2 linked regions of the Cricetulus griseus genome follow. The protein of the gene in region 1 interacts with the protein of each later gene in a pairwise test. Links are inferred from orthologs where the notes say so. Each region holds a gene or a part of one and is shown on either strand. Other genes may lie near its edges.

Region 1 (3,654 bases):
CTTTTTAATTGCATTTTATTATACTAATTCAAATTTGGCTTCAAAAATGATTTGGTTTAAACAAATGATAACATCTTTAAATTGAATAAAAATGTGTTTTACATTTTATCAAACAACCTTTTTTTTTCTTTTTTCAAAATAAGATGTTGCCATTTTGAATTACAACCAAGTTTAAGACAATTTATGTGGAATTTGGAAAGGGTTTTTTTTTTAAATTAGTTTTCATTATTGTACACAATGGACTAAAAGTCTGCTTTGGAATAGGGTGTTAGGCCTTTAACCTATTTTATTGAATAGAAGTTTATATAAAGACAGAAGTTTGATATTTTTAAAAACTATCTGTTACAGGAACAAAATTGATTCTCTTAGTTACTTTTATAACAAACAATTCTGGCATTTTTATTAGTTCATACATTGATGTTTTTTCTCTTTCTTACAGTCACCCCAAGCAGGCACAAAAGACAAGACACTCTGTTGCTGGTTCTGCGCCTCAGGCCCAATATCCTTAAGTGCCAAAATCGAGAGGAAGGGCTACACCCCAGGTATGGATGCGGTTGGTGCCTACAAAAAGCAGTTTTCTTTATTAAGCATCTTGTATAAACTTGGCATTGTTACCGAATATAAACCCTCAGCATTCCTTACTTCGTAAAGCTGTGTAGGTTGTACAGATGGATCCCTTTTCTTTTCACAAATTATAGTCTCCTTTTTTGTGTAGTCAGGGTGAGTGAGCAGGTCATCTTTATAACAGTGAGTTATCCTTGCTCACTTCCAGGATAGCTTTTCCTCCATGGAGTTAGTTGAGCTTCAGAAGTCTACACCAGATACCAGTGTGTGCCTTTTTGTTTTCTAATAGTGAGTAACTGTTTTCCCTCTACAGGTGAATCAATACAGATATTTGCTGAGATTGAGAACTGCTCTTCCCGAATGGTAGTGCCAAAGGCAGCCATTTACCAAACACAGGCCTTCTATGCCAAAGGGAAAATGAAGGAAGTAAAACAGCTTGTGGCAAACTTACGTGGGGAGTCACTATCATCTGGGAAGACAGAGACATGGAATGGCAAGCTACTAAAAATTCCACCAGTTTCCCCCTCCATCCTTGACTGTAGTATAATCCGTGTGGAGTATTCACTAATGGTAGGTGTTCCTGTAAGAAGTTCTTATCACTTTTTCTTGAATCTGTGGGGTCCTTATTTTGACTTATTGATGCTTGGTAGACTGTAGATGTGTGTACAAAACATTGCATTATTACCTCACATAAACTAGGGCATTGCATATAAAAGAGAAGTTCTCTAGAAACTAAACGGGATCCCAGCTAATATCAAAATTAGGTTGTGTTTTTAAAAAAAATTCTGCTTAAATGCTGACTTCAACATCTGCTTACTGTTTAGGTATATGTGGATATTCCTGGAGCTATGGATTTGTTTCTTAATTTGCCACTTGTCATCGGTACCATTCCTCTTCATCCATTCGGTAGCAGAACCTCAAGTGTGAGCAGTCAGTGTAGCATGAACATGAACTGGCTCGGCCTATCCCTTCCTGAAAGACCTGAAGGTAATTTGATAATACATGTCTAAACTTACTCTATTATTAGTAGTAAGACTTTTTTCTTTTGTTTTTAATATTTTACAACCCTAGTTAAATTTTTATCTTTCTTCAGTTAGCATATGTAACCTTAATATTGTTTTGTTGTTTGTCCTGCTTGTTTTAATCACCAAACAAATAATTATTCTTTTACATGACATTTTTTTAATATCTACTATTCTGTGTATTTTGACATGCATAAGAACATGTTGTTCGAATTGCGTGTATCTTTTTCCTTCAGCACCACCCAGCTATGCAGAAGTAGTAACTGAGGAACAAAGACGAAATAATCTCGCCCCAGGGAATGCTTGCGATGGTTTTGAAAGAGCTCTTCAGGGACCACTGTTTGCATATATCCAGGAGTTTCGGTTCTTGCCTCCACCTCTTTATTCAGAGGTAAGTACCAAGTCAAGGATGAAATGTGCTGGGTCTCCTAGGAAACAGCAGTGCAAGCTTTTAAAAAAGATACAGGCTTTTAAAAGGTAGTCGTTTCTTAGTTAAGCTGATGATAAACATTTAGAACACCAGTTTAAAAGTTAGAATTGTCAGATCTTCTGACTTCATTCAGGAAATAAGGTGATGGCCAAACTTCGGTTGAATCATTAGCATTTTTTAATAAATGAGTTTATTTTAAAGTATCAGTAGAAAACTGGTATTTTGTAAGCATAATTAAATAGCTAGAATTTATATTGATCATAATCCTTTTCCAATCTAATTCTTTCATTTTTAACATTCTTAGTTATAGGAGAAAATAGCATATTTCCAAATAGCTTTTTAAGCCGGCGGTGGTGCACGCCTTTAATCTCAGCACTTGGGAGGCAGAGGCAGCAGGAGTATCTCTTGTTAGTTCGAAGCCAGCCTGGTTTACAGAGCAAGTTCCAGGACAGACAGGGCTACACAGAGAAACCCTGTCTCAAAAAAACCCAACAACAACAAAAAGAAAAAACAGACAGACCAAATAACTTCTTAAACAGCATTGTACACTCCTAGATTATTCTGCACTTTATATTAATGACACCAACACACATGTGAATAAGATGAGTACTTGCATTGGAAAAACTCACAGACTAGTGAGAAAAATTAACTTAGAAGGGAAAACCAGCCAGCGTCAACCTTGTTAGGAAACACCACTCATCTGATGAATCAATTATTGGGTCTTAGAAATCAGAAGGGCTTCTCTGAGAAGCTGAATTTTCAACAATAAGTAGCCCCTATACCTACAGTATAGGTTGGAAGAGCAGCCCAGCTGAAAGACAAGAAGGGGCTGTTTCTCTGTTGTACCTACACAGAGAAACCCGCCCTAGATGTAATTATGTAGAATCATCTTCATTAATTGTAGAGTACTCAGAATCTTTTCTTGCAAATTTTTGATTAGACATTTTTCCTGTCTTAGGATGGTTCATAAAAACACATGACTGAAAACCATTTTCCACAAATTTTATTACTTTTTTTTTTATTCTGACATTTCTTACTGTGTTCTGGCTTAATTTGAATGTTCATAGCTTTCAAGGGGGCATTTGAAAAGAATGATAATTAGAATTCACTTTAATTTGTCCTAAATTCTACACATTTCAAGATGAATATAATATAATTTCAACATTGTACAACCCTAAACTCTGGAATATGATTTAAATAAAAGGTAATTGGCTTTTTTCTTCAAAATGCATTTGGCATAAAAACTTCTGAGGTGATGTGGGTTATCTCATACTTAAAGTGAGCAGGACTTGTCCAGACAGATCTTTGAGTTAACCTTCACAGGACCCTTAGAAATGTTGTTCACAGAACCTAGGGAAGTGATGCAGTGACATTTTAGGACAAGAACAAAAGATACTTTACAAAGGAGTTGAGTGGTTTGATGGTGTACCCTAGTATATAACTGATTTTTAAGAACCCCAATGTTGAGTGAAAATACCCTTCCTAGTAACTTTGGTGAAATTGAACTATTCATGCATAACTATAAATCATATTGGTAACCTAACACCCTTTCATTCAAACATAACATGATCTTCAGATAGAGAGCATTATATTAGGGTGTAATCTGCTAAGCAGTCTTATGTATGCTCTGATAATATT
Region 2 (3,654 bases), on another chromosome or scaffold:
GGGTTTTGTGTAGAAAGAGGTGGCTGTAGGGGTGCAGGAGTCACTCAGAAAGTGGGCGTGCTAGCATGATTTGTTGCTGTAGCCTAGCCAGTAAATCGCTGTGGTCAGCCAGGTTTTAGCATGTTCCCAAGTTCCCATTGTCCTGTTCCCAGACCCATCTGAACTCCTTGGAGCAGCCCAGGCAGGCATCCTATGTTCATACATTCAGCTTGGAAGTGAAGAATAGTCTGGCTGAAGATAGTCACGGAAATAAGTGCCTGCTCTTCCAGGGTACTTGTCATAGTCACAAACACTCTTACCCAGATCAGGGTGGGACACTTAACAAAAGATGAAGGTCAGATTTATATACTCTGTGTCAGTGACAGACTCAGTAGCTGGGGCCCTTGGATCTAAATGTTGGCCTTGGTTTCCACACTGCCCAGACATCTGGGAGTTTTTGGCTTACACCAAGCAGAAGAAAAGATACAGATGTGAGATTTAAGACTTGGATCCTTCTGGTCCTGTGTGCAGACTGTTGGCAGACCCTCACTGTAGCACCACAAGTCTTAAGCCCTGCAGAATGAAACATTGAGAGGGAACCTTGCACCCAAGGAAGGGTACTAGTGGGTGGTTCCATGGCTGTCCTACAGAGGAAGGCATGGCTAGTTAGTGCCTCAGGCCAGCTGGAGGCTGATTGTCCCCCAGTGTCCTCGGGTGGCAGCAAGGCGAGTAAGGGGCTGTTAAGGGGCATGTGCAGACGAAGAGGCTGCTGCCAGCATTGGGACCGTCCCTGCTGCCAACTTGTATGGCTTGTCTGTTCTTTTATGCCTAGCTGCCTACAAAGTTGGGCTGGGGAAAACTGAAGAGCCTTGCAGACCCTGTGCTCTGCTCTTCCTGTTTCCAGGCTGTACACACCCCTACCCAGCTGACTACCTAGACCCTACTTCTAGAATTCACTGGAGATGATGGGCGGGCAGATGCAGCTCCCCAGTCCCAGACATAAACACTGACTCAGGTACAAGCCCTCGGCTTTGTCAAGCCTTATCCAAGTGGGGCTGACAGCCAAACTCTGAAGGGCCTGTCTTCAAAGTCAAGAGCTGTGGCCCTGAGGCAGAAGGACTTCACAACCTGAGCTTCATGCTGAAGGCTAAAACCCTTTTCTGACTTTGGTATAAAAGTCTCTCATGTTTTCTCTCCCCCACTCCCTCTCCCCCCACCCCCCAATGGATGGGAAAGCACAGCCATCATGAAGGAAACTCCACACAAGCCCCTCACATTCAGACAGTTGTCTACCATTACACACCCAACATACATAGCAGGGCTGGACTCTTCATAGGTCTGGTGAGTCACCTGAATTTGACAGCTGACCTGAGTTTTTTTTTTTTTTTTTTCCCCCCCTATGAAGGCTACTGTCCCTGTTAAGGATAAACCGGATTTCCCCATTTTTACACAGCGGCATGTCAACACTGCCAGGAACCTCTTCCAGATAAATAAATAGGTCCAACGAGGTTCTTACAGTAAACGGATACATAGGGTTCCTGGCTTTCTGGTCCAGAGTTAGCAGGCATTACATCATCTATCAAAATAAATACTAAAATTCCTATTAAGTCATGACAGTCCATAGTGGGCACAGGTCTCAGTTCAGTGGCTTTACCCAAAAGGCTGTATGTTTCTAGTTGTCTAAATCAATTAAAAAATTGCCAAGGCAGAATGTTCCATTCAGAATGCAGTCCATTAGATGACAGGCTCCGGCATGGCCTAAAATTAGTGTTTTTCGGCTGCATAAAGGATGTTGTAGTGGGATGTTTTATAGAGCAGATAAACGGAAGGGGTGGCAGCCTCAGGGAACACGTGGTGGTTCAGAGCTGTGTCCATCTCATCCACATACTCCACCTGCAGAGCAATGTTCAGTGCCTGCGACAGAGCTGTGATCTGGACGTGGTCACACTCCATGGCCATGGGCTCCACTTCCTGCAATGCCAAAATGAAACACTTAGGAGGGGCGCGGGGAGGGTGAGTGAAACCCTGGCTCTCAGGATCATGGTCTCCTGTGCTGGGGGTGGGGTGGGGGGGTTCTTCCCAAGCACATGTGAGCGCAGGTGCTGATAACCATCTGTCATGGAAGCAACACAGAGACTACAGGGCTTGCAGAAAATGAACCTGAACCTATTTTTTTTTTTTTTGGTTTTTCGAGACAGGGTTTCTCTGTGTAGCTTTGGAGCCTATCCTGGCACTCGCTCTGGAGACCAGGCTGGCCTCGAACTCATAGAGATCTGCCTGCCTCTGCCTCTCGAGTGCTGGGATTAAAGGTGTGCCGCAAACCTGAGCCATTTTTATTCCATACCCTTTAAGGAATGTGCAAAAGGGGAGGAATCTTTTAGGCTAGCATCAGAACTTAGAACTAAGAGGACCTTGTCATCAAAGGCTTCCAAGTATAAGTGCTTGGCAGTGGCCAGAGCCTGTGTGTGAGTCCTGCTGCTGTAGAGACAACAGAGAGGCAGAGATGGTGGCAGGTACCCCAAAGAGGGCAGCTGTTCTTGTGCCTACTGGTAGTCGCCGTCCAACTTAGGGCCCAGTACCTCCTAATTAAAAAAAAAAAAAATCCAAGTAGCCATAATTGTCCACTTCCTTACATGTGGGCCACTCCTTCAGATAAATATTATCTAAACAAAAGCCCATCTTAGGGTTAGCATGACAGGAGCTGCCACTCAGCTGCTTATCAGCAGAGCAGTCCTGAGATTCCAGATAGGCGATTCCCTGGGAATACAAGCTGCTTGCTCAAGCCTCGGCGCTCAGGCCACTCATGGAAGATGCCTCCAGGTGCTAACCTTGCTAGCTGACATTGCAAGGATGTTCCTCTGGGCAGAAACAGTGGTCCTGGGATGTGTAAGAGACAGACAAGCAAAGCCTAGGCCAGGGGCTACAGGACGACCCTAGGGACATACATGAGTGCAGAAGTCTTTGATGTCCATCTCCTCATCAATGAAATGTCGGAAGAAGTCAGCTCGGTTCCTGATGAAGGCCGATGTGAGCAGGCGCAAGAACTGCACGATCCGGTCCGAGCAGCACTGGTCATTGAACACCTTCAGCAGGCTGGACACCGAGCTGTCCTTCTCTACCAGCTCTACCACACTGTAAAACTTCACGCTGCCACCATCAGAATAGACCCCAGCAAGCACCTGTCCCCCACACCCCACCCCACACACGACTTCCTCAGAGCTCATTTTGAGATTGCAAGTCTTAGTGTTGAGGCTCCGAGGCACATCTAGGGGCCTGGCATTGAGTCTCCTTCTACCATATATTCAGAATGGCAGAACGATGCTGACAGTCCTCCAAACTGAGGTCCCCTTGACCCATATACCCCCAAGCAGCAGGGAATGGCCTTGCCCCAGCCCCAGGTGGGAGGACTAAGAACAAAGCTGCACAGCTGTGGGTGGATCGAAGACCTCCAGCCTGCCTGCTCCTGTCTGCTCTGCCCTTGTGGAAGGCCAGTATGGCTCAGGTGAACTCACAGCATTAAAGAAGTTTCTGAACTTGTGTTCCTCAAAGCCAGCAGCCAGAAGGTCATTTGGGGTCTGTAGCACACGCTCTTTGAACCTAGAGGGGAGGAGACCTGATGTTTACCTGACGGTCGCAAGGGGAACACATGGTGTTGCTGTGACAGGCAATTGTCCA

What was found.
Region 2: the proteins of Arrdc3 (region 1) and Otub2 interact in binary tests that used the Homo sapiens proteins (3 or more experiments, as listed by UniProt). The two-hybrid records come from large-scale screens. The link is inferred for Cricetulus griseus from reciprocal best matches to the Homo sapiens genes ARRDC3 and OTUB2.

The regions. Positions count from the first base shown.
Region 1 is NC_048595.1:301,361,099-301,364,752, forward strand, and holds part of Arrdc3 (arrestin domain-containing protein 3), read left to right. Parts: intron 1-439; coding exon 440-542; intron 543-877; coding exon 878-1,134; intron 1,135-1,388; coding exon 1,389-1,551; intron 1,552-1,784; coding exon of another isoform or gene 1,785-1,822; coding exon 1,823-1,977; intron 1,978-3,654. UniProt on the Homo sapiens protein: Adapter protein that plays a role in regulating cell-surface expression of adrenergic receptors and probably also other G protein-coupled receptors.
Region 2 is NC_048598.1:102,678,309-102,681,962, forward strand, and holds part of Otub2 (ubiquitin thioesterase OTUB2), read right to left. Parts: intron 3,577-3,654; coding exon 3,492-3,576; intron 3,120-3,491; coding exon 2,925-3,119; intron 1,951-2,924; coding exon 1,744-1,950; 3' UTR 1-1,743. UniProt on the Homo sapiens protein: Hydrolase that can remove conjugated ubiquitin from proteins in vitro and may therefore play an important regulatory role at the level of protein turnover by preventing degradation.